Linked DNA regions of Ovis aries. The protein of the gene in region 1 purifies or fractionates together with the protein of each later gene. This does not show direct contact. Links are inferred from orthologs where the notes say so. Each region holds a gene or a part of one and is shown on either strand. Other genes may lie near its edges. The genes, in order: SART3 and LSM8.

Region 1 (4,580 bases):
AGGGCCGCGCAGAGCGGGGAGGGCCACTAGGCTGGGCTTCCGCTAGGACCCCTAAGTCCTCTGGGGGGTCCTCGCACTCCCGCCCGCCCCCCCGCCCGGTGCGGACCCCCGGGCCGCTCTTACCTTCTTGTGATAGAGCCGAGCGGGAGCTGAGAGCTCCCGGGCGGGCAGGCGCGGGGGCCGGAGCAACAGGGCCGACGCCGCCCGCCTCAGACGGCCCGCTCCAGCCGCCGCCATCTTGAGGGCTTGCGCCTGCGCAGGTGGAGCGCGCGGCCGAGGGGAGGGGCGCGTGCGCGAGTCGGCTCCCTGCTGGGAGCGCGCACCCTCTAAAGTACCGGCGACCTTGCGCCTGCGCCCTCCCGCTGCGTTCACGTGTCCCCGTTTTGTTCCCGCGGCGCGGAGCCTAAAGGTTTGAAATCGTTCGAGGGCTGGTCCACCGAGCTGGGTTCTGAATCTTGAGGATCCTTGAGCAGGAAATCAGGACCCAGCTTTGCGTTGACAAAGCCCCACCGCCTATTTCGGCGCAGAGGCTCAACCAGTCCACCCTTCTTGGCTCTATTTTGCAGCTTAGGAATTTGAGGATCAGAACGGTTTAGTAACTTGCCCTAGGTTGCCCAGAGGGGCCCAGTTGGGATTCTGACTTGAACAGTCCTGAGTTAGAATCCCATTTCTGCTCCTAACTGGCTGTGTGCTGCTAAGTGAAACATAGTGTCATTGTAAACCTCGATCTTTTTTGTACTAATTCAAGGACAGTTCTTCATCCATTGAGCAAATCTTGTGTTGAGTATCTACTTTTTGTCAGGGTGCTTTGGGAAAACAACCCAAGACGACACAATTAAGCTTGCTACTGAGGGAGCAAGGCAATAAATAGACCCACCAAGGCTTTTCTACCACTAAAGTGAGAAGCTTAACTAAAGGAAAGAATACTTTGCTCTGATTTTAAAAATTGTATATGTTTATGTCTCTATTAAAAAGCAAACTGGCACAGATTAAATCACAAGATATAGCAATGAAGAGATTCTAAGTAAATATTTATTAATGTAATTTATTGATACTGGTTTGCAGAATATGATCCTATAAAATCAAAACTCACGTGTATTTAAGTGCTAGGCGCCAGGCATTAGATAAAGAGAAGGAATCTCTGGGAAATGAGTTATTCTCATGAATGGTGCAATCGATCCTTCCCTGAGGACTTAAGACTTTTTTGCGCGTTTGAGGCTCAGTTGCTGGGGAGACTGACTCACGCGCCAGGTCAGACTAGGTGGTAAGATATTTATTCCAAGAATCATTTTTGACCTTCTCAAGATGGCGCCAAACCCTTAACTACAACCATCACGCTCACTCAGTGGCTGCCTCTATGGCTTCCACTTCCTGCCTAAGGACCCAACTGCTGTCCGACGTTGTGCCGAAACGCATGCCCTGTTGGTGAGCTTTTTTATTCGAACAAGAGCTACTGAAAGTATATAAAATAACATGAATCTCGTGTATTTCGAGATTTCCATGTCATCCGAGGCGCATAGTTTCTCTTCAGGTGGCAGACGGGCGGGATTTTGACCAGGCGCGCGCCGCGGGCAGCTCCAACTACTGCGGGTCTTTGGCGGCCAAGTGAGGACCCGGGAGTCTCTGGAAGTCCAAGATGGCGACGGCGGCCGCAGCATCGGCTTCTGAAGCGGAGGCTGAGCCCAAGGCCGGGCCCGAGGCCGAAGGAGAGGAGGATGAGGCTAAGGCGGCTCGGGCGAGGAGGAAGGTGTTATCGCGGGCCGTGGCCGCCGCGACGTACAAGACCATGGGGCCAGAGTGGGACCAGCAGGAGGAAGGCGTGAGTGAGAGCGATGGAGATGAGGAGTACGCCATGGCTTCCTCAGCCGAGAGCTCCCCTGGGGAGTACGAGTGGGGGTACGACGAAGAGGAGAAGAATCAGCTGGAGATAGAGCGGCTGGAGGAGCAGGTGGGCGCGGGCGTGGGCGGCGGCGGCGGGCTCTCTCCCTCGGGTTCCCAGGCCCCGGCCCACCTCCGTGGTCCTCGGAAGTAATATAAAGCGCCAAAGCCTCCAAATCGCAGTGTCCCAGCGCGTCTCCGGTCCTCGGAGCGCTTACTGCTCGCCAGGTGCTTCGCAAGTGTTATCCTATTGAACCCTCGCCAGAACCCGGCGAGGGAATTGCTGTATTTCCCGTTTTGTGGGAGGACCCTGAGGCTCCCGGTGGAGGGAATTCTCTTGTCACCATTACACTTAGTGCAAGTGGCGAGTCAGGCTTTGAACTTTGAATCGACTCCGCAACTCCCGCTCTTAGCCATACGGGTCAACTGTGTCCAGGCCTAGAAATAAGATTATTTTCCTCCAAGAAGAGTAGTTTGCTTGTAGGAATGACGAAGATAAGGAGCTCTGGCGTGGTAGGGAAAATAGTGACCGTGACGGTGATAATAGAAACGGAATAGCGTCTGGAGGCTAAGGCCCCAGTTCTAGCTCTTCCACACCCGTGTGTGCTGGGGCCAATATTATAACGTCTCTCATCCTCCACTCTGTAAACTGGGACAAACGGTTCCCGCCCAGAGAATTGTCCTAACGGTAATCAGGGCTCGGGGCCTGGCAATAGTAGCTATGTGATTTCTAATCTGTAACTTTAGAAGGTACAGGTGTTGGTGTCTCCTATGTAATCTAGGATCCCAGCAGGAAGTAGGTGGCACATTCAAGTTAGGAGAGTTTGGAATAAAGGTCCATAAAGAGACTGGGCCTCCCAGGTGGCTCAGTGGTGAAGAATCCGCCTGACAGTGCAGGAGAGATGGATCCAATCCTTGGGTCAGGAGGATCCTCTGGAGAAGGAAATGGCAACCCACTCCAGGATTCTTGGCTGAGCAATCCCATGGACAGAGGAGCCCGCCAGACTACTGTCCGTGGGGTCACAAAGAGTCGGACAAGACTGGGCACAGCACAGCAATGGAGAGACTGTTGAGTCTGGGGCAGGGAAGTCAGGAGCAAAGGTTTGGTTTCCCAGGGCTAGTAGTAGCAGGACCTTTAGGTGTCCACTTTAGTCCTGTAGAGGTGATGGAGTGACTGGTTTTCTAGATAGTTTGTGGAGAGGATCCCTGAGAGGAGTTGAGATGTTTGTTCCAGGGAGGTAGCCCCCGTTTCCCATCAGGAAGGAGGGTGGGCAAGAAGTACCCTGACCTACTTCAGTGCCTCGCTTCCACATGGCCTGTTGGGCAAATCCTGCTGGAACCCCGAGACCCAGAGACCCCATGGATGTGGTCCACATGGTGGGTCTCAGGACAGGGAGGGGAGAGAGTGGAGTAGTCTTGGAGGGGAAGAGATGGAGCTCCCATCTCATTTTACGGACGAGGACACAGAGTCTCAAAAGGACTGATGAAGTGTTTTGGTCAGAGTCAGGCCTAAGGGCATTTGAACTTTTCCAGGTTGTCTGTAGACCGAATGCCACAGTGGGTGTGAAATCAGTTAGTGATGTGGGGTTGGTAGCCTGGGTTTCTCAGTTAACTTGGCTGGGTGTGAGATTCCTTATAATGTCCTCTCTGGTGGTGACGTTCCTGCTAAGTTGTGAAATAGTTGTATCTTCTTTCGGTATATCTGTCTCATTTGTCATCCCGTCTGAACCAGCCAGGGGTAGGCCGGTGGTTACCCTTCCTGCCTTCTATAAACAAGCCTGCCGCAGTCCATTCATTCTCTTACTCATTTGGCAGTTGCAGTGTAATGTCAGGTGGCAGGCCGCCTGTGACCCTGTCCTGGTGGCAGTCTGTCTCTCTGGCCTTTGGCCTTTCAGTGAGCCCTTATCTTGCTTAGTTGGGGAAATAGAATTACCTGTTGAGGGGAAGGGGAGGCTCGGAAGCAGAGCGATTAAACCCTCAGTGAGGGTATTTTGCTTACTAAAGTGGAGGACGGGTCTGGGCAGAGGTGTCCTGGCCACTGGTGGTGTGTACTTGCCAACCCTACCTCAGGCCACCGCACAGGATGGGATCCGGCAGGTGATGGTGAACTGAAGAGCCTTTGGCTTTATCTTCTTCCTGGGGTCCAGAAATGGACTTTTCCAGTTTTCCCAAAACTCCCTCCCATGTCCTCTTAATCCCGGCCTCTAGTTCTTGCTGTAACGACTCTCCTGGTGGAGTGTGATGGTCAGTAACTTCCAGAGAGGCCCGCGAAGTGCTCGGCCTTGTCGTGTTTGAATTCCACTTCTGACCCCAAGTGTTTTTATGAAAGCTCACAGTCAGCTGTGAAATCTGTCCAGATAACAGAAGCGGAGATGTCCCGCTGTGTGTGTGGTCGTGGCTGAAACTAGGAGCGGCACCTCGTGGTCCCTTCCCGTGATTGGGCCGAGTGTGGTCCCACCAGGCGCCTCTGTCACCTCTCCGTGCAGGTCGTGCTGTCAGGGCGAGAGGAAACCTGTTGCAGAGCACTTGCACGATGGCTAGGCCGCCTCTTTCCCTGAAGCGTCCTTTGTCCGTGGCGATGTTCTGAGACCGGACTAGATCGGCACGTGTGCGCGTTTGTCAGCTCTGGTTGAACTCTCTGGACGGCCTCTGCGATGCATGTCCTTGTGTATTAAAGAGTGCCTCTCTATACACAGTGTCTT
Region 2 (3,021 bases), on another chromosome or scaffold:
TAGCCACATGTGACTATTAAAATTAAGCACAATTAAGTAAAATCTAAAATTCATTTCTTCAGTCACACCAGCTACTTTTCAAGTACCCAGTGGCCACTCACTTGGTTAGTACCTACTACAGTGGACAATGCAGATATACAACAGATATGTAACATTCCATCATCCCCTAAAACTGTACTGGACAGTACTGCTCTACAATGTTGCACTTTTCTTATACTGTTACCACTAAAATGTATCTTCTCAAATTGTCATATCAGTGTCACAAGTTAACTGAGGCCAGGACATAAACATGGGACAGCTTAAGTGTGCCAATTATACTAAAAATTAAAAGAAAAAATGGATAAATTCAGCTATATTATAAAGCATTATTTTAAACTGTTCACACAAGAGATTTCAAAGACATTTTCAAACTCTAGCCCAGAGGTGTATTTATGTTCCTCTGAAATTAGGGATATTTTGGAAGAACATTTTAAGAACCTCCTCCAGTGAAGTATCCAATGTTAAGGCAGGGTTCTTTCTGGACCCTATTCAGGCTATTTAACTATTAGAAATATGGACAAATCTCAGTAGATAGAAACCTCTTCTCCACACAGCAAAGCAGTACACCTATTGTATACTGCTGTGTGTCAGTCACTCAGCCGTGTCCAGTTCTTTGTGACCCTATAGGCTATAGCCCACCAGGTTCCTCTATCCTTGGAATTCTCCAGGCAAGAATACTGGAGTGGGTTCCCATTTCCTTCTCCAGCGGATCTTGCTGACCCAGGGATTGAACCCAGGTCTCCTGCATTGCAGGCGAATGCCTTTACAGTCTGAGCTACTTGCCTAAAAACAGACATTTTACTTACACATTGTCACCTCTTACGATGTATAACCCTAGTACCACTTGTTCTACTCCCTGTGAAGAGCTGAACACTCGTTCATGGCTTTCATCCAGTATCAAATTAATGGTCTGGTCAAAACCTTTCAGTGTTCCCTGTAAAGAAAATATTCAAGAGAAAAAAGACAAAGTATCTGAATATGTAAATTCAACCACACCATTTTAGCTGCCAGGTATTCCAATAAGAGGACCTATTTTAAATATACATACAAGTTTACTATAAAATATCTCTTCATGACCAAGAGTACTCTTGGCACAAAACTTACCTCTTGGTTTTTTAAGGGGGAGGGGGGCACCAAGCCTCTGCTAGTGTGCAGAGCTATTGAGAATTACAAAGGACCCCATGTATTAGTTACTTCCAAGGAAGTAGCATAAAACTTCAGGCTATCCAGAAGTGAATATTCTAAAGATACAAACTTAAAAAAGGAAAACTTAAGGGAAATACTCCCATACACAGCAGCTATAGTAATATAACAGTATCATACATGTTTAGTTCAGTTGCTCAGTCGTGTCCGACTCTTTGTGACCCCATGAATCGCAGCACACCAGGCCTCCCTGTCCATCACTAACTCCCAGAGTTCACTCAGACTCACGTCCATCGAGTCAGTGATGCCATCCAGCCATCTTATCCTCTGTCGCCCCCTTCTCCTGCCCCCAATCCCTCCCAGCATCAGTCTTTTCCAATGAGTCAACTCTTCGCATGAGGTGACCAGAGTAGTGGAGTTTCAGCTTCAGCATCATTCCTTCCAAAGAAATCCCAGGGCTGATCTCCTTCAGAATCTTACATGCCAGTAAACATGCTACACATTATCTCAACCAATCTCTACCCTTTGTAGTAGATATTATATGTATTCCCACTTCAGAGAAGAAAAATTGAGGCACAGAGAAATAATCTCGCATGGTTTCATGGCTGGAAATTAGCAGAGCTAGAATCCAAACCATGAAAGGCTAGCTTCAAAGCCAGACCACTGAACTTCTATGTTACACTACTATGAACAAACAAATATAATTTACCACTTTTTAGAGATTCAAATCAATCCCATAAATATACACAAACTTCAAGTGGTAGTAGTAATAGCTAAGGCTAGATGAGTACTTAGTATTTGCCAAAGTGTTCTATGGGCTGCATATGGATTTACATATTTAATCCTCCTAATAACTCAGTAACAGTAGACACAAATATGATCACAACAACTGGAAAGTTCTAGAACTTGAAGGAAATATTCAGAGTTTTACAGAAGAATCATGGCTTCTAATAAAGGAAGACATGGGCATATTTCAACACAGTATCTCAGATGCTATTTCAGTTTCTGAAGAACATCAACTTATACTGATGGCTTTGGTTGGTTAAATCTCTTATTAAAGTTTCATGTTTTAAAACTCAAAATATGTAAAATTAGACCAAGATAAAGAGAAAATGTTAACTTAAAATTTGGAAAAGAAGCAAAATGTGGAGTACTTACTATACTAAATTAGTTAGCAAATAGTTGTTACCACACTCATACACAGCTTCTTGGCTTCATCTTACAAGTAACTATTTTATCAAGTTTCAGTGGACAGAGGAGTGAGGTAGACTACAATCCATGGGGTTGCAAAGAATTGGACACAACTGAGTAGACACACACATTCTATCAAGTGGGCTCTCCTGGTGGCTCAGCATCGAAGAATCTGCCTGCCAATGCAGTATGCTGCTGCTGCTGCTGCTGCTGCTGCTTAGTCGCTTCAGTCGTGTCCGACTCTGTGCAACCCCAGAGATGGCGCCCACCAGGCTCCCCCGTCCCTGGGATTCTCCAGGCAAGAACACTGGAGTGGGTTGCCATTTCCTTCTCTAATGCATGAAAGTGAAAAGTGAAAGTGAAGTCGCTCAGTCGTGTACGACTCTTCGAAACCCCATGGACTACAGCCTACCAGGCTCCTCCGCCCATGGGATTTTCCAGGCAAGAGGACTGGAGTGGGGTGCCATTGCCTTCTCCCTCCAATGCAGTATATGTGGGTTCAATTCCTGGGTTGGGAAAATCCCCTGGAGAAGGAAATGGCAACCCACTCCAGTATTCTTGCCTGGGAAATCCCATGGACAGAGGAGCCTGGTGGGCTACCGTCCATGGGGTCATAAAGAGTAGGACATAACTTAGCGACTCAACAAA

What was found.
Region 2: the proteins of SART3 (region 1) and LSM8 purify together in Homo sapiens (affinity purification with mass spectrometry; 4 studies listed by BioGRID and IntAct, counting the BioPlex papers as one, with this or other methods). This does not show direct contact. The link is inferred for Ovis aries from reciprocal best matches to the Homo sapiens genes SART3 and LSM8.

What each region holds. Positions count from the first base shown.
Region 1 is NC_056070.1:64,531,047-64,535,626, forward strand, and holds the start of SART3 (squamous cell carcinoma antigen recognized by T-cells 3), read left to right. Parts: upstream 1-1,615; 5' UTR 1,616-1,636; coding exon 1,637-1,948; intron 1,949-4,580. Other genes in the region: iron-sulfur cluster assembly enzyme ISCU, read right to left, coding at 124-237. UniProt on the Homo sapiens protein: U6 snRNP-binding protein that functions as a recycling factor of the splicing machinery. Promotes the initial reassembly of U4 and U6 snRNPs following their ejection from the spliceosome during its maturation.
Region 2 is NC_056057.1:84,400,768-84,403,788, reverse strand, and holds part of LSM8 (LSM8 homolog, U6 small nuclear RNA associated), read right to left. Parts: intron 974-3,021; coding exon 846-973; intron 1-845. UniProt on the Homo sapiens protein: Plays a role in pre-mRNA splicing as component of the U4/U6-U5 tri-snRNP complex that is involved in spliceosome assembly, and as component of the precatalytic spliceosome (spliceosome B complex).